Kluyveromyces lactis: one gene and its partners. The protein of the gene in region 1 interacts with the protein of each later gene in a biochemical or structural test. Links are inferred from orthologs where the notes say so. Each region holds a gene or a part of one and is shown in the gene's direction. Other genes may lie near its edges.

The links.
Region 2: of the proteins of RAD53 (region 1) and RAD55, one has a biochemical effect on the other in vitro, tested with the Saccharomyces cerevisiae proteins (2 studies listed by BioGRID). The link is inferred for Kluyveromyces lactis from reciprocal best matches to the Saccharomyces cerevisiae genes RAD53 and RAD55.
Region 3: the proteins of RAD53 (region 1) and CDC45 interact in a test that uses a peptide from one of them, tested with the Saccharomyces cerevisiae proteins (2 studies listed by BioGRID, with this or other methods). The link is inferred for Kluyveromyces lactis from reciprocal best matches to the Saccharomyces cerevisiae genes RAD53 and CDC45.
Region 4: the proteins of RAD53 (region 1) and CDC7 form a complex in vitro, tested with the Saccharomyces cerevisiae proteins (2 studies listed by BioGRID, with this or other methods). The link is inferred for Kluyveromyces lactis from reciprocal best matches to the Saccharomyces cerevisiae genes RAD53 and CDC7.
Region 5: of the proteins of RAD53 (region 1) and PPH3, one has a biochemical effect on the other in vitro, tested with the Saccharomyces cerevisiae proteins (2 studies listed by BioGRID). The link is inferred for Kluyveromyces lactis from reciprocal best matches to the Saccharomyces cerevisiae genes RAD53 and PPH3.
Region 6: of the proteins of RAD53 (region 1) and SWI6, one has a biochemical effect on the other in vitro, tested with the Saccharomyces cerevisiae proteins (2 studies listed by BioGRID). The link is inferred for Kluyveromyces lactis from reciprocal best matches to the Saccharomyces cerevisiae genes RAD53 and SWI6.

What each region holds. Positions count from the first base shown.
Region 1 is NC_006042.1:1,025,771-1,029,866, reverse strand, and holds RAD53 (serine/threonine/tyrosine protein kinase RAD53), read left to right. Parts: upstream 1-1,296; coding exon 1,297-3,738; downstream 3,739-4,096. Other genes in the region: DNA replication protein SLD5, read right to left, coding at 4,011-4,096. UniProt on the Saccharomyces cerevisiae protein: Controls S-phase checkpoint as well as G1 and G2 DNA damage checkpoints. Phosphorylates proteins on serine, threonine, and tyrosine. Prevents entry into anaphase and mitotic exit after DNA damage via regulation of the Polo kinase CDC5.
Region 2 is NC_006041.1:117,463-120,624, reverse strand, and holds RAD55 (putative DNA-dependent ATPase RAD55), read left to right. Parts: upstream 1-1,420; coding exon 1,421-2,662; downstream 2,663-3,162. Other genes in the region: RSM26 (mitochondrial 37S ribosomal protein mS42), read right to left, coding at 52-813. UniProt on the Saccharomyces cerevisiae protein: Required for radiation resistance and meiotic viability and presumably acts in recombination and recombinational DNA repair pathways.
Region 3 is NC_006042.1:1,834,515-1,838,200, reverse strand, and holds CDC45 (DNA replication initiation factor CDC45), read left to right. Parts: upstream 1-1,191; coding exon 1,192-3,186; downstream 3,187-3,686. Other genes in the region: tRNA splicing endonuclease subunit SEN2, read left to right, coding at 1-327; LCL2 (Lcl2p), read right to left, coding at 502-906; KLLA0_F19800g (uncharacterized protein), read left to right, coding at 3,503-3,686. UniProt on the Saccharomyces cerevisiae protein: Required for initiation of chromosomal DNA replication. Acts at the origin of replication. Also has a role in minichromosome maintenance.
Region 4 is NC_006039.1:396,463-399,826, forward strand, and holds CDC7 (serine/threonine protein kinase CDC7), read left to right. Parts: upstream 1-1,436; coding exon 1,437-2,864; downstream 2,865-3,364. Other genes in the region: DAL1 (allantoinase), read left to right, coding at 1-430; ERP3 (Erp3p), read right to left, coding at 517-1,236; trans-2-enoyl-CoA reductase (NADPH) TSC13, read right to left, coding at 3,169-3,364. UniProt on the Saccharomyces cerevisiae protein: Serine/threonine-protein kinase. Needed for the initiation of DNA synthesis during mitosis as well as for synaptonemal complex formation and commitment to recombination during meiosis. Required for HTA1-HTB1 locus transcription repression.
Region 5 is NC_006041.1:889,657-892,238, reverse strand, and holds PPH3 (phosphoprotein phosphatase PP4 catalytic subunit PPH3), read left to right. Parts: upstream 1-1,155; coding exon 1,156-2,082; downstream 2,083-2,582. Other genes in the region: PEA2 (Pea2p), read right to left, coding at 1-354. UniProt on the Saccharomyces cerevisiae protein: Forms the histone H2A phosphatase complex in association with the regulatory subunits PSY2 and PSY4, which dephosphorylates H2AS128ph (gamma-H2A) that has been displaced from sites of DNA lesions in the double-stranded DNA break repair process.
Region 6 is NC_006039.1:143,071-147,032, forward strand, and holds SWI6 (transcriptional regulator SWI6), read left to right. Parts: upstream 1-1,236; coding exon 1,237-3,462; downstream 3,463-3,962. Other genes in the region: VTA1 (Vta1p), read right to left, coding at 50-964; TOS4 (Tos4p), read right to left, coding at 3,669-3,962. UniProt on the Saccharomyces cerevisiae protein: Part of a complex involved in cell-cycle-dependent transcription. SWI4 and SWI6 are required for formation of the cell-cycle box factor-DNA complex. The repeated element in the upstream region of HO (5'-CACGAAAA-3') is called the cell cycle box (CCB).

The sequences.
Region 1 (4,096 bases):
ATTGTACTGGTATGCACCATACCTATCAGTTTACATGGTTTTAGGGAAGTAATGATGGGTAGTTAATTTAACAAAAATATTATGTAGAGGAATGCATCTTTCCTATACAATGTCCAATTTATGAACTAGTAGTAAATATAAATAGACTTCAAAATCTGACGCGAAAGACTACTGAGCCCGGCTCTTGTATTTAAAGGGTTTCCTTGGGAAAAACTAACGGATGTAGTAGACTTTTTATCCAGTCCTGATTCTGGGAACAGGTCATTTAATTAGCAGATAGAATGGTAAGAAACTTAACATAACGTTATGGAGGTATGTGAGATTAATAATTTACGATTTTGTTATTTACCGTAACATTACGGTTAAAGTTGACGGTATGATTTGAACCTTCACCAGTAGATCAAAGCTGATATATAATTTTACTACATAGCTATCTCGTTGAAGGACATTATTGCAGTATTAATAAAACGAAAACTTATATATATCATTTCTTCAATCGGTTATGGGGAATTGTCTTAACGAATGTTTTAAACATGAATAGAACCTAGTTTTTTCAAGAAAAGGCTCTAACAGTTCAAATACAATAACGTTATATGAGCAAAATGCAAAGAATTTCTGAAAATTCGGAGTGTTATGCTTGATAGCAACCATATCGATTTATAATCTTTACTTCCATCTATTGATAAGTAAAGATTTTAAAGTCTTTGTAGCATGACTGGAGTTAGAATAAGAAACAGCTGATACAAGTTATTCAACCATGGTATTTACTAATTGATGCCATATGGATTGTTGCAGTATAAACCGGCTTCACATAGTTCTGAAGAAGATTCGGCACCAATCACCTGATGCCGCAATGTGCCATAATAGAACTTCTATCAATGATTCCGTTCTATTTACTCAAATTCCCACTCCAACGTTGTAGCAGTGCCGAGTAAAGACTGATCCATCTTTGATCATTGGCTTTGTATATATGTATGTACTTTTACGCGTCATTGTAATATTTAATGTTCATCGAATATTTACGCGATTTAAAGGTTGACATTTTTCTGAAATAATCTGGATCTTTGAATTGCAAAAGCGATCATACACATTATGAAAGAACGATTTATTCCATTATTCATTAGCTTTGTGTTGGCAGTTTAGTGGGTATACACAGTCACAACCGACTATAGAATAGCACACTTGTGAAAATCGTTCTATATTGAGGCATTAAGTTGTCCCTTTGAGGTTTGCCGTTACCTTTCCCAGCCTCTTTAGAGATCAACTGATCATTGCTGTGCAAACGAAGATATTGACATGGATGATATAACGCAACCGACACAACAAGCCACTCAGGCTACACAGAAGTACCTAATAGATAAGTTTTCTCAGGAGAAAATAGACGACGATGTGGTGTGCAGAGTAATATGTACAACTGGTCAAATAAGTCTACGGGACTTGAAGGTTCAACCTGAAAGTATATTCAAAAAGGAATCATCAATTAAAAAAACATGGACCTTTGGAAGAAACCAAGGATGTGATTATTATCTGGGGGATATTTCAAGACTGTCCAACAGACACTTTATGCTAATGCTGGGTGAAGAAGGAACTTTAATGCTGAAGGATACATCAACCAATGGAACATGGTTAAATGGAGCGAGGATACAAAAGGATACGAATCACATCTTGACCCAAGGGGATGAAATAAGTGTTGGAGTCGGCGTTCCCAGCGATGTCGTTAGTTTAGTGATTTTCATCAACGATAGTTTCAAAAATAGACTAAAAGAACTCAATATGATGAAGGATGTGACTTCACCTGCTTCATCTTCAAAGAGCAAATATCAGATATCAATGGGACATACAGAATTAAAAGGAATACACAAATACTATTCGATATCAGATTCGATTGTTGGTCAAGGTGCTTTCGCTACTGTGAAGAAAGCTGTCGAAAGGTCAACAGGCAAAACATTTGCGGTCAAAATAATTCATAAGAGAAAAGTAATGGATAAATTTGATGGAGTGAAGAGGGAACTAGATGTATTGCAGAAATTAAATCACCCCAGGATAGTTAAACTTAAGGACTTTTTTGAAGACAATGATAATTATTACATGTTGATGGAGTTTGTCAGCGGAGGCGATTTAATGGATTTCGTAGCAGCCCATGGAACTGTAGGCGAGGATGCCGGCAGAGAGATAACACGACAGGTTTTAGAGGCAGTAAAATACATGCATGATCAAGGAATTAGCCATCGAGACTTGAAACCTGATAATATAATGATAGAGCAAGACGATCCAGTTCTTATAAAGATAACCGATTTTGGCCTGGCAAAAGTACAAAATCAGAATACATTCCTGAACACTTTTTGTGGTACTCTAGCATATGTTGCACCTGAAGTTATAGACGGGAAAAATGCTGAAGATAAAACTAATCGAGATCTGTATTCCTCACTTGTTGATATGTGGTCAATTGGATGCCTAGTTTACGTTATTCTTACAGGTCACTTGCCTTTTAGTGGTCAGTCTCAGAATGAATTGTTCAAGCAAATAAAACGGGGCTCTTATCATGAAGGACCATTAAAGGATTATAGAATATCCGAAGAGGCAAGAAACTTCATAGATTGCCTGTTGAATGTGGACCCTAAAGAAAGAATGAACGCAGGAAAGGCCCTGCAACATCCATGGATGAAAATGGCATACGTTGATAGCATGCAGTCACAAATATCCATCTCACAATCCTTGTCCCAGCAACAATTTGTTGACAGTATGAATGAGGCTGAATACGAATCATACATTGCGAAAAAGAGGTTAGAGATTATCAAGAAAGAAATAACGGCGCCTGCTGCAGAAACTAATAAAGAGCCTGTATTCAAAAAACCACAAATTGCACCATCTAAAATTGCACAATCCCAAAACTTGCAGTTTAACTTTTCAAATCCTAATACTGGTAAAGCTATTAATGTTAATTATAAATCTGGTGAAGAAGGACTTTCAAACAATAAGAACAAAAAGATCAATAGACCACTTACAAAGGTCAATGGGGAGGGGCTATTTCTCACTTTGCATTCCTTACCTGGCTCATCTATTTCAGGTAAGGTCCAAGTAAAACAAGGGATAAATCCATTCTTCATCGGTAGGTCAGACGAATGCAACTGTAAAATTGATGATAATCGTTTATCTAGGATACATTGCTTCATATTGAAGAAAAGACACGCTGTCGGTGACAGTATTTATGAATCTCCAGCTCAAGGTCTTGATGATGTATGGTATTGCCAAAGTGGTACTAACTCAAGCTATGTTAATGGAAAGAAAATCACTCCGGGCACAAAGATCTTACTTCATGATGGCGATGAAATCCAAATTATATGGGATAAAATCAATGATGTCACTGTTTCTTTCCAGCTTGAGTTCAATGATACCACTGGTTTGTTCCACGAGGGGAAGCTGGATACCAATGAGAAAACAAACAAGACACTTCTACATAAACAGACACAGGAGGAGTTAGCTTTAGTCCCTAAGTTTATGGAATTTATGAAGTCTAGATCATCACAACATGCCAAATCTAATATAAACCAGTCCTCTTCCAGTAACATAGATGCCAACTCGCAAAATATCGAGGAATTAGATTCTGTCGTTGAGATGAACTCGACTACAGGATTGAAAAGAATACATTCAGTGTCGTTATCTCAATCTCAACCGCAGACAACCAAAAGGGCTAAGCTTGCCCAAGCCCAGAAACCAGATATTGAAGGATTTCTCTGAGCTGATCATATGCTTGCCGGATGGGTTTTGCATACAGTAAATATGAAAAATAGGTACACTTTGAGTATGCTAGATAGACTTTTCAACGTTAATTGATGTAATACTAATACAAATTGGTTCAAAAGCACTATAGACCAGCAGTCAATAACACTAGGTAGAAAACATGCTGTGTTCGCAATAACATTGTTGAGAAATTATTGCTGGCAAACATTCGTTACAAACCTATATTTTTCGAAGAGTCATAGGTTCAGTAATACTGTTCAGAATTTTCATTATATTAAAACTACTCGTCCCTCAGTCATGAGATCTCGTATTACACTATAACGTATTACGTATACTGCCCCGATTAATAAGTAAA
Region 2 (3,162 bases), on another chromosome or scaffold:
ATTTTAAAGAGAGCCAACAGTCTATTTATGATTGGAAGTACTGGTATACTCCTATTGTGTGGAGAACAATCTGTTGTTAACCGCAGACCAGTTCAAGTTATCTAAACACTTCCTTACGTAAGTGGATCTGCCCTTAATACCGTAATCATTCAAGTATGAATGGTCCCACAAACTGATCGCAATCAAAGGCATTGTCCAATCTTTAACGTCTGCATTTGCGGCAAGTAGATCTCTCATCGTTACAAACTGTTCCATTTCTTCTAAGGATAGAGCACTGTTCAAATCGAAAGATTGGTTTCTAGCAAAGTAGTATGGAGTACCATTATTTTGAACTGTTAGGATGTGAAGTTCCTTGGCATCATTTTCCACAAGGAATAGCCATCCTTGACCTAACACATCTTCTTCTGCATGTCTAACCATTTCATCCTTAAAAGCATCCCAAGTCATTGAATATTGTGATTCTAGCTTCTGTAGAAACTCACGAGATGGATGTGTAACTTGTTCCATAGGCAATATGTTTTCTATGAACAAATGGTTATTGTGCAAAGCACTAGCCAAATTGAAAATGTTTGTTTGGTATGATTTCTTCGCAGTGTGCAGTACTAAATGGAATGGCAAGTAGGATTCTGCGGCAGTTCCTGCAGATGCCAGTGTTAGCTTATCGCACAAAAGCTGCTGCTGGTCAACCCAGCAAGTTTTGAATGTGTTAGCGCTCATAACATGAGGGATGCCTGAATCCAAAAGTTGTGAAATACCAGGTATCTTTGGAACTGTGTGTATTCCTCTGAACAGTTGACGCCCAAACATTGACATTAAATATTTTTAGTTAGTTGCCTCAATTATATCAATCGTTCCGAAACTCTAGGAAGAATGTAAATAGGATGCATTGAGCAAGAAATAGTAGACTTTCTAGTTATGCATTTTAGATTCATGAATTGATACAAGTCGAAATGATTTCAATTTTTCCTGTTCGGCAATGTTGAATGCTAAGAAAAATTTTAAGATTTGAAATGTTACCCGGAACTCATTATCTTCTCTAGCTTAATGAACTAGACTAATAATCAATAAAGTCCAAATAAGATACACCCGTAGGATATAATCCGACAAGAGGTAGACAAGGAGATTCGTGGGAAGAACCTTCGAGTTTTTAATTTCAATTCTTTCAATGATTAAATTCAAGTATTATTACTCCCTCTTATCTTTTCTTATTTTATATTTTTGAATAACATAATCACAGCAAAAACCTGGTAAATAAAACAAACATTATTGAGCTGAGTTGTCTACGGACTTGATGACATTTTTTAGTTACACCTAAAGGTGAATTATGCGGATTTAAAAGGCTAGTTATACATAGTCTTGAAAGGCTTGAAGAACCAGGAGAAACTGTGGACGCGTTTGGTGATTAGTTGATAGCATTCTAATGTCATTTGGTGTACCTTTGTCTCAACTGATACAAGCGCGTGCAGATCATGTACGAAGTGGCATTGAGAGTTTAGACGATTCATTGAATGACGGATTCCAACCACAGAGTATCTACGAGGTTTACGGACCTCCAGGAATTGGCAAGACAAAGTTCGCGGTACAATTAGTGAACAATAATCAGAATAGGATGAAATGTCTGTGGATTGACACGTTCCAGCAAGTACCACTGAAGCTTATAGAGCAAGGAGATGAGGACGAAGTCCATTTCAAAGGGTGCCAATTCGCAAGAGTGAAGAAATTTGCTCAACTGTGGTACATGTTTCAGAATTTAAAAGAGACGTACGGGCTCATAATAATCGATGGTTTATCTCAGCTTTTGGTAGAGTATCTCCATATGTACGAGAAGAACAGTGGATATTCTAACCATCGACAGACCTTGCACGATTTCAAGGTGAAAAGTTTGATACAATTGCTTGTCACCATAACTAAATACGCCACTTCAAACAATACGGTGGTGGTATTACTTAATGACGCTATGAACACAGGTTACCAGGACTATTCAGACGATGCAGTTGTCTCATACAACGATCCCAGCAACGGAACCCACTCAGATGGTTCCTTTAGCAATTTCCTCGTGAAATCTCAACGGAAACGTCACGTGCAAGTGTTGAAGAGTGGATTAGTAGCAAATGCAGCCGTTGGAAGTAAAGATGCCCGTTGGGAGGTGTTTCTTCGATGCAGGATCGGTGTGTTCTGGAATTGGGATGCAGAACAAAAGCAGAATCCTAACTCCCAGAAAAGAATCATCCCCGAGGTATCACGGCAGTTTGTTGTACAACATCAACAGCCAGTGGGCTCGAAGAATAAACTGGTTTGGGTTAAGACTAATGAATCTGGGAACTTTTATAGCTGTCACACAACTATAGTCGCAGAAAACCCAACAACTGCTGTCACTGACAATCTTCTTCCTACGAACACTTCCTCAAGTGCGACAGCTGCTGCTGCTGCAGTAGCCGCAGCACCGGTGCTTCCCCCAAACAAGAGAAGACGGGTTTTATACACGGAGCCAAGTCCGAGCCGTATGCTATTAGATGTTCAAAGTCACAGTCAGCCCGTAACACCAAACTCTTCGCAATCAATCCAGTTTACACCACGAATCGTTCATTCAGACAACATTGTGGCAACTCATGGAACTGAAGGCACTGACAACGACGCTATCATATATGATAGTGAAGGATAGAACGGAACACATTACAAACAGGAAGCCGACCTAATTTTGTCACTTTTAAGTGAATAAAATATGCAACTAAGAATTGCGCCCTTCCTCCTTAGATACGGTCACGAGTGGTGCCCAATATATCTCACATTCGTCATCGGACGCTTTTCCAGGAATCTCCACGGAAACCAAAAGAGAGATCATGGAAATTACTAATGATGTGGTGTATGGGTGCATGTGTCTTTTTTTTCCATTTTCTCCTTCGAGAGATCCCCAAAGGGCATCAAAATAGATCTGACGTGATCTATGCCAACTTTAGTAATCGACATGGGACGGTTTTCATTGGCCGGTTTTAAGAGCTCTTGAACCTTGAATCCACTAACTTTTCTATTATTGGAATTCAAATAGGAAAAATTTGTTTGTTTTGCTTTTATTGTTACTGCTAGGTTTACAGATATGAATTTAACAAGCTAATCTTGTTTTTTACATGTTTCAGCCGTTCCAACCTGTCATAAAGTGTCAAT
Region 3 (3,686 bases), about 810 kb from region 1:
AGGTCCAAAGGGTGGTGTGTACGATCGGGGATAAAATTTGGTTGCGAATACTTATTATACAGAAGAGGACCCCCTTTCCAACATGCGGAGTATGGAATCATGGTTTTGGATGCAAACCAGTCAAATGATTACACTTGGTATTCAAGCGCTGCCAGAGTCGTGGGCGGAGCCAAGAAACAGTTTGTATTATGCTACGTTGAACAACTCATACCTGAAGATGACTTAATGGAACTTTGGAAGCAATCAAAGTACGATGAGCTTTTCAGAAACTTTAAAATCCATGAATTGTTATACAAAAGATGGGTTGCAGGTAAGAACAGAGATTAACTGTTCCGAACCGGTAACGATCTTTTCCGCGAAGAACTCAAACGAGTAAAAATAAACCCATGCTAGTTAATTGCATTAAATACAGTAATGGTCTGTATTATATGTCTCTATATATATTATCAGTTTATGTTTGTAATAGTATTATGGCCGATACAGAAAGAAAGATCTCTCATTCTAAATCTTGCCGTCATATACATCCAAGATCCATCCACAATCTCTGAATCCCTCAGTACGTTGAGCTGGTCCCATTACTGGATCATCATAAATCTCTACCAGTGTTGGATCATGTGTTGCTGGCTTTGAGATGCAAATTACCTGACCGTTGGGTAGATTGCATTTCAATTGTGAATTAGGGAACGGACACGCACAATCCGACTTCTGTCTCACACAATCCAATGTCTGTGGACATAAATAATGCGGACAGTCATTATCTAGGAACATTTGCTGGTAAGAGCCAACATCCCGCTGTTGCTGCTGTTGCTGCTGTTGCTGTCTATTCTGGTGACCTGAATCGAAAAAGAATCCAGACACAGCTTGTAAAAAGAATGCTGAACCAATTATTGTTCCCAGTAGTTTCATAGTAAGTTAAGATCTTCGTATTTCGTAATACTGCAATATGAAATATCAGATAGCAGTGTTTAGTACCTATAGTCTTGTAAATCTTGGCATCTCTTCGAATATTTCGAATATTTCGCATGTATGCCATTTATGACAAGTAATCGATTTTCCAAAAATCTTTAAACGTGTAAGTATTCCAAACCAATATTTTAAAGAAATTTATGTAAATACATGAGATGACTAGCTCACGAGGGAAAAGAGACTGCAAACAAAACCACTGCAGGCCATCAAAGTGCCAGGTAGAGGATGTATATTGGCATTGCTGAATTTGTGGGTGCTTATGATAAAATTCTTCACCGATGCAGTTCTCATTCTTCATGTCAGTTGGTGATTTTTGTTTCGTGTTTAAACATTGACGCGTTATGTGCATCGAAGATGCTATCCAGTCTATTCAAGAAGCAATTGGTACAATCACAGTTAGTTCCCGTGTTTGGTTATTCGGAATTGAAGGATCACTATCAGAGACTGGACGAAAATATCAATAGCGTTATATTTGTAGGTTGTGGAGGGATGGTAGATCTTGAATCTTTTTTAGAGATTGATCCACAAGAAAACACGCAGGGTCCATTAGATGAGATTCAATTAGATAAGACTGACGTTGTTCAGAAATTTAAGAAGGAGATATTTGTGCTTGATTGTCATAGACCGTGGAATTTGGATAATTTATTTGGTTCACAGTGCATAACCTGTTTCGATGATGGAACAGTCGAAGAGTCTTTGACAGAGCAAAAGAAAGCATACTACAAACTTATAGAGATAGAGAACGAACTTGGCGATGAATTGGACGATGACAGTGATAGCGAGGAAGAGGAAGATGACAGGGAAACGCAAAATGAGGATAAAGACGACGATGACGATGACGATGACGATGACGATGACGTAGTATTGGGTAAAAGGTCCAGCGATGAATTGAATCCAAAAAAATCACATAAACAACGAAAGCGAGAGTTTCACAACTTAGAAAAAGTGTTACAGGAGTACTATTCACAGGGATCAACGGTGCTGAACTCCCTTTCAGTTCAGATATATTCTCTTTTGTCTGGTATTGGTGAGACAAATCTAGATTATTTATGGTTATGCATTCTAGGAGTGTCCTCTTTGGATAATTCCTTCCCGTTGGTATACAATCGACTATTACCACTTCTGAAAGATGAAGTAAAAAGATTGACACCTAGTGAAAAAACTAAAACGCCAGATTCTTTGAATCTTGAGATTCGTCCCGATTACAGTTTATTCCTTCTGAGGCATACATCCTTATATGATAGTTTTTATTATTCTAACTACGTCAACGCCAAACTGTCACTGTGGAATGAAAATGGCAAGAAAAGACTGCATAAAATGTTTGCACGCATGGGTATTCCGCTGAGTGTTACACAGGAAAACTGGATATATATGGACAATAATTTCAAGAGAGATCTGGGCGTACTTTTCGATAAAAATCTCGATAGATACGGGTTACAAGATATTGTACGAGATGGGTTCTTGAGAACTTTCGGTTACCGAGGATCAATAAGTGCCAGTGAATTTGTCGAATCGATAACCGCTTTACTTGAAGTTGGCAATGCTTCAAACGCACTAGAAAATTTGACAACAGCTAATGTATCTCAAAAAGATGATACGAACCAAGGTGATGAAGAGAATAGGGAGTACGAAGAAGCTGAAGAGCAAAAAATTAACAGAATACTGAAGACAAGGCAAAAAAAATGGATTGCAAATTTTTGGTCAAGTTGGGATGTATTGGACAATAATATGGATATTTTATCTCAGGGGATTAAGCATGCAACATTTTTACAAAGAAGTGTATTTGAAACTGGAGTCGCTATTCTGGAGAAAAGATTAGTGAAACATTTAAGGATTTACAGGCTATGTGTTTTACAAGATGGACCAGATTTGCATTTATATAGAAATCCATTAACGTTATTGAGGCTGGGATCATGGCTCATTGAATACTATGCAGAAAATGACGAAAAACAGTTACTTCCACTGGTATTGGCAACTTTAGATGAGACTTCTGACACATATCTTTGTGCAGGGATTGCGCCAAGGTACCCAAGAGGGTTGGACATTTTACAACAACAACAGCAGAAAACTTTAAATAATTTCACAGTGGCATTTCAACAAATAGCAGCTGAGACAGGTGCCAAAGTAAGGATTGACAATTTCGAGACATCAATTATTGAAATCAGGAAAGACGATCTACAACCATTCCTTGAACGTTTGACATTAAGCGGATTGATTTAGCACGAAGACACAAACATATTAATTTAGGCATATCATGAGGTGAGCTTTCGGCTTTAAATCTAATATATATATATATATTATGTAACAATCTAATCAGATACCTCGAAATTGACACTACTATGGGATGTCCAAGCTGTTTGAAATCTGTTAGGTTTACCATTGATATCACGTGATCATTAAACCAATGCCACAAATGTCAGTCAAAGGTAAGCATTCTAAAATACCCACAATAATTTGTCATAATTATAGGCAAAATGTTGCCAAGAACCAGCCTTCAACCCCTCAACTGTAGCTGTTCAGGCTCTTAAGTTAATACATGGAGCACAACATAGATCTTCCGCGTCTGCCACCCTGGAAAAGCCCGCAGTTCCGCAGGATCAAACATGTCAAACACTCAACAGATGAGGATTTCAACGTTGGGATGGGCACATCGGCAAATGTATTCAGCGACTCTTCGCTCTACACTCCGTTGAATTACAAGAATGAACGCAATAGAAACA
Region 4 (3,364 bases), on another chromosome or scaffold:
AGTAAGTGACCATTCTCCATGTATACCGGAGCTAAAAGACCTCGCAAAAGGTGATTTTTTTAGTGCATGGGGAGGAATTGCATCCGTCGGGTTGGGACTACCATTACTATACACTAACGGTGCTTCCATCGCTGAAATCATTCAATGGTGTTGCGAGAACACCAGTAAGCAAGTTGGTCTTGATCACAGGAAGGGTTTCCTAAGAACTGGATACGACGCAGATTTTGTTATCTTCGACATCAATACCTATCAGACTGTCGACAACGATAAAGTTTATTTCAAAAACAAACTGACAGCCTATGATGGGTTCAAACTGAAAGGTTTAGTGAGAAACACCTATGTTAGAGGAAAATTGGCTTTTGAACTTGACGGCATGGGACATAATAAAAACCCTCCCGGCCAGACAATTCTTGAACGCAGAAGAACATGAAGTACCCCATCTTCTAATCATTTTTTTTTCTTCAATTTTGAATTACCTTTATTTGATGCATGATATACATATTATATATATATCACTTATGATTTAAATTTACCTAGAATATACTTCATTATTATAATTTCTAGAACAGCAATCGTCGGTACAAGAACTATGGAGCAAATTGATATGGTGACCAACCTCGATGCTATTGATTTAACAGTGTGGTGGTTTCTTTCTGCACGTGATTTGTACAGCTTCAAATTTCTTTCCAAGACTTGAAGCTGATCCTCTATTATATTTACAGAATCTTGCAGTGTCCTCACCAGTGAACTATCTATCGTCTCTCCTATCAAACGAGGATCTGCTGGCTTCGGTATCTGATCGAAACATATCTGTACAATGTCTAAATCAACAATCTTAGGATATTCATCACCAATGACACATAACGCATATTCACCAGTATGTTTCGCAGGAAATGTCCATTGCCCTTGCTCTTCGTCATCTTTGTAAATCATAGGATACTCTGTATCGTCCGGAGACCATAATTCATAGCTTACTCTGAAGGCATTGTTTTCTCCCTCTTGTACTGCGAAGTAATAAGATATTTTGCAGTCACTGTCATCAACATCAATGTAAACACATTCTTTCCCATTCTTCTGTAATTGTACCGTTATTGGTGAGCTTTGACAGACAATCACAAGCGAAAATACCCATAACCATGTAAACTTCATATTTAATAAGTTATACATGAAGGTTGCTTTGTGTGTAAATGTCCTTTTATTCGACAATTCCCCTTTTAACGTCCTGTTTCTGTTCATTAATATATGTCATTTCAATGTGAACTACTGCTGTTTGTTATTATATTTGGTTTCGACAATAAAAATGAAAACATCGCCAAAAAATGCATAGAATAAAAGAATCAACGGATATAGCGTATCTGTTCTTGTAGAGTCAAACCAATGGGTATACAGCTCGTCTGTTAGGCTTCATATTAGGTGGCAATATACACACTATAATTATGGATGACATTCCCGCTGAAATCATCCAGGAAATGGATGATTTGTACGATAAGGTACCACAGTTGTCATCCAGATACAAGCTACTGGATAAGATCGGAGAGGGGACCTTTTCATCGGTATATAAAGCTCAAGATCTTAGCAACGTATCTGGAAGGTTATACCCTGATCATTTCTGGGATAAGAATAGTAAACATGTGGCTATCAAGAGGATATACGTGACAAGCTCGCCGAACAGAATTGAAAATGAACTTAAACTCTTAGAGTTACTGTCAAATTCGAATAACGTAGCACCATTATGCGACGCGATTCGATACCAGGATCAGGTGGTTGTCGTCTTGCCCTGGTATCCGCATGAAGAATTCCGGCATTTCTACCGAGACATGCCTATCAAGGGGATAAAGAAGTACATGTTTGAACTTTTAAGCGCCTTGAAATACGTGCACTCATTTGGAATCATTCACAGAGACGTGAAGCCAACCAATTTCCTATACAACCCAATACTTGGGAGAGGTGTGTTAGTAGACTTTGGTTTGGCTGAAGAGAATGAAGAGTTGTACTTGCCTGACCTCAACTATCGTGTGTATGTTAATGACCAGGGAGAGAAGGTTTGTAATTGTTCTTCACCGTATGCTAACAACAAAAAGACATCACATCTGCCGTTGATATCCATTCAGAACGGGCAGCTTAACGTTAGAGGGGCAAATGAATTAAGTGCTGCACAAAGTGAGAATCTCATGAAGGCAGAATTGAGTAAGGGGTACCCAAAACATGAAACTAGGAGGCAGCGTAGAGCTAATAGAGCTGGTACGAGAGGGTTCAGAGCGCCAGAAGTGCTTATGAAATGTTCTTTCCAAACTCAAAAAATTGACATTTGGTCAGTTGGTGTGATACTGTTAAGTTTCATCAGCAGAAGGTTCCCAATCTTTCAAAGCATGGATGATATTGACGCCTTTCTGGAGATATGTTGCATTTTTGGAATCAAGCCCATGCAAGAAGTCGCCAAGTTCCATGGGTTGGGACTAGACATGACAAAGGTTCCAGGTTTCCATTCGGAAGGATATCCTGGGGGGCTACAAGGTTTTGTGAGAGCTTTACTTGACAAAGAAGTGGAGGAAGGAACATTACCAGAGTATTCCATAGCGTTCGAGACGTTGGATTATTTGACACAATTTGACAAACAACTCACGCCAAGTTTAGGCCCAGACGATGAAGAGGATATTGATGATAAAATACGGAGCTACAAACAAGCAGTTTGGGACGATCATTTTTGGTGTTTTGATCTCTTGGCAAAATGTTTCGAACTCAATTCATACAAAAGACCCAGCGCCAGTGATCTTCTTGAACATTTATGGTTCAAAGAACTGAACGAAGATTTACTTGATAGAGATCAAAGAAGAGAAGATCACTTCACCGGGGTCGTTGAGTAATGAAATCCAGAACGAAACAAAAATATTTGACGAAAATTAGCATATATTCACCGCAATAACTTAGAGCAGAACTCATTTTTTATATACATGCATTCATATATAGAGTTCTTTAACCGATAGAGTAATTTAATACTTTGCATTCATCATCATTATTATATTTAGTTTACAAACGTTGCCAACGCTTTGACGGCATAAGTTAGAGAACAAGTGCGTAAATAAACGAGTAAAACAGCGTTATTCACTTAAGAGAGAATGCTATAATACCCCAAGTCAAATATGTATGTGGTGATAGTAATTGGTGAATTCAGAACAAGAATGGGATCAAGAATGCTCTCTTGGTACCATATTTCTTGTTTTTCTTTTGAGCCCACAAGTACATCTGAACCACCGAGACAACAAGGAAAAGAACTGAGAATAAGTTCAACTTGAACAACAAAGTGAAAAACATCCAAGCCCAAGATTCAAAAGTGTAATTTGGAGCGACAAGTAGTTTGAACAAC
Region 5 (2,582 bases), on another chromosome or scaffold:
CTCATCAGTGCTTTTATTGGCTAAAGATTTATCATTCTCTAGTACCAATTGGACTAATTCTTTCAACGTGTCAACGTCTACCGAGCCAAGCTTTTGTAAGAAAGTAGTTCCCTTAGTACTTAGAGAACCGTTAGCAGATTCATTAATCAAGTACAATGCAAATTCCAATTTCAATTGGGAATCCAAATCCATTGGAAGCTCATCCCACTCCGAATTTTGTCTATTGGATATCAGGGAATTCGTACTCGTAGTTTGCAAATATTCATTCAACTGTTCATTGGGGTACTTCCCATGCAATTTCTCTACAAAAGAGGTATTGTACTCGTACCATTGGTCCAGGTTATTACGAAGCATTCTATCAAGGGGCTAGCTGCGATCAGTATCTAGCTTGGTTTGGTAGCAACTTACATTTTAACATTCCGTTCATCTATCCAGACGCGTTGATTCCGATCAATGCCTTTCTCAATTACCACGCACGGGACATACATGCAGTTTCCGGGTAATACAAGCACATTATCAACCACGTGATATTTGACATCACCACGCACGAATACCGCCATTCCGATGTCTGGGTGTCATCTTCCGAAGGCTTACATAAGCACACCTCATTACCCGCATGTCACGTTAAATTATCGTTTTTGTGGCCGAAACACAAAAAAGGAAGCAAACTGATAAAAAGAAACGTGAAAAAAGAGTACAGGCAAAAAAAAAGAAACAATGGAAGGAGAAGAAGAAGAAGAAGCAAGATTCTGAACAATTCCCATATACAACACAGGCAAGCATTCCACACTACGCTATATACTGTAGACATACCGGAAAGCGCAGACCGACAAGTTGACTTTTCAGGCTAACCGAAAAATGTAATTGTTGTTACCTCTTTTGATACTTGATACTTTTATTTCTCTTGATACTTGCATTTTGTCTATCTCATCGAATTTTGGAAAATAAGAAAGTAAAGAAGCTTTTAAGCCTATATTGTTAATGATGACTATTCAGTTTACCTTTGTTAGATTAGTTTAAGGTAGGTTTTTGTTGGATTTGATCCAAACTCATCACTATAGAATAATATCGTCAGTTCTTGAACAGGGAATCACTTTTTTTTATCTTTTATACTTCCAGTTGGTTTTAACTTTAACGTCGTCTGAGCATCTGTCAATGATGAAACTCGATGAGATTATAGAGACTCTAAGGCAGGGGAAACATGTTGACGAGGATTCGATATACTCGCTGTGTGTCATGGCTCAAGAACTTCTTATGAATGAGTCTAACGTGACACATGTGGATACGCCAGTCACAATTTGTGGAGATATTCATGGCCAATTGCATGATTTGTTGACTCTCTTTGCTAAGAGTGGAGGCATTGAAAAGAATAGATACATCTTTTTGGGAGATTTCGTGGATAGAGGGTTCTATTCGTTAGAGAGTTTCCTTCTTTTGGTATGTTATAAATTAAGGTATCCAGATAGAATTGTGTTGATACGAGGAAATCATGAAACAAGACAGATTACGAAGGTTTATGGGTTTTACGACGAAGTGGTAAGGAAATATGGTAACAGTAACGTATGGAGATACTGTTGCGAAGTATTCGACTATTTGCCCTTGGGTGCCATTGTAAACAACAAGGTTTTCTGTGTTCATGGTGGATTATCGCCGGACGTTTTATCAATCAACGAAATACGAACCATCGATAGGAAAAAGGAGGTACCGCATGAAGGTGCTATGTGTGATTTATTGTGGTCGGATCCAGAGGATGTGGATACTTGGTCTCTTTCCCCGCGTGGTGCAGGTTTCCTATTTGGCCAAAACGAAGTAGATAAATTTTTACACACAAATAGTGTCGAATTAATCGCTAGAGCTCATCAATTGGTCATGGAAGGTTATAAAGAGATGTTCGATGGGGGATTAGTCACGGTATGGTCAGCACCAAACTACTGTTATCGTTGTGGGAATGTGGCTGCTGTGCTGCGCATCGATGACGATATGACGAAGGATTACACCATTTTTGAAGCTGTTCAGGCGAGGGATAGTGGAGGTAATGTCATTCTCCCTACGAAAAAACCTCAAATGGACTACTTCTTGTAACTTATTACCATTATTATTTGCATTTTTCTCTCTCTCTTCTCGATTTGCTGACCGATTCCCGTGTTATTGGTTCAGTCTTCTTTTCTTTCAGCATTATTTAACAGCATGGTATATCACCCTGATCCTCATTATCAACCGACCATCCTCCCAGCATAGCTCAACCTACAGTTGTTGCTTTGTATTAATATTACCTCTCTTCTTAATCTCATTCAACACAGTGATATACCACATTTCAATAAAAGTATCCCAATAGGTATGTAACAGTAAACTATTTCAATAATTGTACGATTGAATTATATGATTCATTTGATAGCATACATATTATACTGTAATATGGAATTTCTGGTTGTATTCCATTCGAGCAGAACATTTATGACGATACTTTTACCTTCCCTTCAATTTTGGATTTAACGGTAATATTTTGATATTTGATCTTCAATTAAGTATCTCAACCTTAAACGGAGTCTTACAAAAAGTCAAATAGACGTTTAGATGCAAGG
Region 6 (3,962 bases), on another chromosome or scaffold:
TGTTCATAACTGAGGCAAAAATGCAGAAATGATCAGACGCATTGGAATATTATTCAGGCGTCAAGTCTTCAAGCAACTTAAAAGCTTGCAGTAACTCGGCTTTTGCAGTTACTATGTCGTCATAGTTTAGAGCGCTTATTGCATACTTAGCACTTCGTTGTGCTTTTTGAATCCTGTGCTCCCTTGACATTATTTCTTTCAAAGTAGCAACATCATGTCTCACTGCCGGTTTAGGTGATTCTAATTTGATCGGTTCTGGCGTTAGCAACTTTATTGGAACTTCTGGCGACTCAAGCTGCTTTAACTTCTCAACGGATTCATCTACCTTCAAAGAGGGAGACGGACCATGCTGCTGTGCTATTTCCGAATCTTTTGGCTCTTCGAATAGCGGCTGATCCTCTAGATCCTCGACAAAATTTGGGATTTCATCTTCCACTTCGCTTAGTGGGTTACTATTTGTAGGTTCTGATGTGGTTTCTTGGGGCTTCTTGTCGCTTTGTAATTGTCCCCTTTTCAATTTCATAAGATAGTATTTGGAATGTTTGATCCTTTTATCGCATTGCTCTTTTACAATGGCATCCATACTATCCGCCCATATATGTTTACAGCATTGAAACAAATCTATACAGCACCATAGCCCCTTTCCTATATCGTCATTAATCCTATCATCTTGTATTTGTACTAAGATTCCGTTATAGATTGACATCGCAAGATTTAACACAAAAGCCAATGCTTTGTCTTTTTCATTCAACAGGATCTTAGTACCTTCATCATTCACCTCATTTTTAAAGCTCTCTACATCGTCTAATAATGACATGACCAACTCTGTCGCTTCCCCGTCTCGCTCCTTCTCATTCAATATTAGCTCTGCCGCATATAGTTTTAAGTAGTAAGATATAACAGGAAGAGTTGACAATTCTTTAGAGAGTTTAATGACTCTCTTGTACTGCGCTACATTGCTCATAATGTATCAAGTATAGTGAACGAAAGTCTTTTGGGCTGTATGAGCACGTCTCAGTCCCCTGGATACCTCATTCATTCCCTATCCCAATATGTCGATATTATGATAATATAATATACAAACGCCAAATGGAGAAAATTTATTGATTTTTGAATGTTAACCAAATTATGAACATCGTACTAATTTCACAATTGAGAACTCTAAACAACGAACAACGTTGACTGTACTAGTAATTGTTCTGGGATCCTTCACAATTTAACGGTATAAAGTGGACGATGAGCAGGCCTATTTTTAAGGTGCATAAGGGAGACCGTATTACTTTCCAGCAGCGACTTCAAGACGGATATGTCTGTCTGGACCAATTTATCCCTTTGTTGACCAACTTATCAAGTTTCAATTTCCATCGCGATGACCCATTGGTTGAGAATCTCGATGATATGGTCACTTCTCAATTCAATATACTTATAGACACTGATAGGTCTGGCACCCGATGGATCACTTTACAAAAAGCACATGAGTTATGGGATTTGCTGCAAATTAAAGATGATTCTGGTTCGGAAAATTTGACGGACCATGACGATGATAATGAAGCTAATCACAATGGCGTTGAAGACGATGGTCAGAAGACTCCTGAGAATAATGGTAGAAAGACGGACAACCACACAATGGAGAATGGTGGTACTGAAAATACAAATAACGGAAACAACAGCTCGAATAAAAATGATGGGAATGTTACTGCCGAAGGAAGTAATTTCAGGCCTGCAACAATTACAAATGGAACCACTTCTAGAATCAGTGGTGGTGAGCCAGACACTGTTAAACATGAGCTTCTAGATCTTCCCGATTCTCCTACGAAGAGGCATCAAACCAAATCTGTTTCAAAGATCCCGGTTTTCCAACATGATTTACCTACGGTCTCTACGTTACAGAAAACTCTGCCTCCAGTTAGTAATTACTCAAATGATGAACGTGCGAAGTTAGAGACCTTACTTCAGCGTATTCTTTTCCCCGAAACTACGAATTTGAACGTTGCAGAAGGTTACCCATCGGTCAGCTTAACCCAGCAGGTACAAGAACTGGACACACAATTCCCAAACGTTCCACTAAATTTTAACATCCCAATTGATGAACATGGAAACACTTCCTTGCATTGGCTGTGTTCCATAGCCAATCTAGACCTTCTCAAACAGCTCATTGTCTTTGGCAGTGATAGAAGAATCGGCGATAAGTCCGGTGAATCAGTGCTTGTAAAATCTGTGAAGTCGGTAAACAATTACGATTCTGGTACATTCGAGATACTGTTGGACTACTTGTACCCTTGTATCGTAATGGTTGATGACATGGATAGAACCGTTCTTCATCATATTGTGATTACTTCTGGTATGCCTGGTTGTAATGCAGCGGCTAAGTATTACCTCGATATTTTGATGGGTTGGATAGTTAAAAAGCAAAGCAGAACTAAAGAATCGCATTGCGTGCTACTAGAAGATATCGATCTTCAATGGGTTATCACTCATTTACTCAATGCTAGAGATTCTAATGGTGATACCTGTTTAAATATTGCCGCCAGGCTTGGAAACGTTGCCATTGTCGAAGCATTGTTGGATTATGGTGCTGATCCTAATATTGCAAACAATTCCGGATTGTGCCCTGTGGATTTTGGTGCAGGTACTCAACCCCGTTTTCAATCGAATACAAAAAATCTTATGGCCACACCTACCAAAACTCATGAAACTTCGTTGGATCCGATGGCTGAGTCTACATCGTTAATCACAAATATAAAATCACTCCTCTCAAAAATATCGAATGATTATGGTGATGAAATTAAACAACATAATGGGAAGATGAAGGAGCTCCTCGATACACTCAACATAAAGAGAGAAGCGTTGGCTAATGCACGGGATAGATTGGCTAAGGCAAAGCAAATCCAAGATGAATATAATCTGTTGTCCGACAGACTGAACAATGTGGAAAACACTATCGCTGAAGAAGATCAAAATTTCCAACTTGCTTCTAGAGAATTAGGACTATCACTGGATGATGTCCAAGAAGAAGGTCTGAACTCAGCCGATATTGCATTCGATGCTGATGAGCCTTTCAGAATCTCTTACGTTTACACAAAGTTTGAGGAAAAGATCAAAGACGAATATAACAATGATTTTGAACTATTCCTCAAACATTGCAATTTATCACAACTTGTTCATGAAATATACGATAACTTCCCTTCCAGAGCAGAAATCCCACATCCCAAAATTCTTAAAGCAAGAATCAAAGCGTACAATAGAAACGAATTGCATTTAGACTCAACTTTACAGACTATCAAAGACAAGCAGAAGAATTTAGAATCTAAATTCAGAAAAGTCTTGTCTCTCTGCTTGAAGATAGATGAAGAGAAGGTTGACTCAATGCTTGACGGTCTTTTGCAAGCTATATCTAATGAAGATCCTGAAGATATAGATACAGACGAGGTGAACAACTTTTTAGAGAGTGCCGCCGAATAAATACCAATTGATGGTAACCTATTTGGAAATAACTCTTGTTGTACTTTTATTTCTAACTAAACAGTTTACGCAAGCTGTTGTAATTTTAGTGGACTTTTACCTATAAAATACGATGAACCTTTTTTTTCTATTACATTTATTGCCTATGTATATATTTGTTTCTTCGACGCCTTGTGTTAAAAAGCAAGTCGAGCAGAATTTTTAGATTATTTAGTTGGTTTCTTCCAGAAATACTGTTTATGCACTCTCCTGCATGATCTTAAACCAGATCTGCCACCCTTGAGTGATGCTACCAGCTGTCTTCTGTCATCGTCAGGATCATTTTCTGCATCATAGTAGTATTCTTCATCCAGTGGCTTTCCTGCGGCATCTTTTCCTGTACGGTAAATTACTCCGATACATTGTTCGTCATTCAAAATAGCGCGCAGTTCTGTGCGGCTTAACTTCGAGACAACAGAGTTAACATCCTGCAATTGAAAGAGTGGCACTTGTTGAATGTT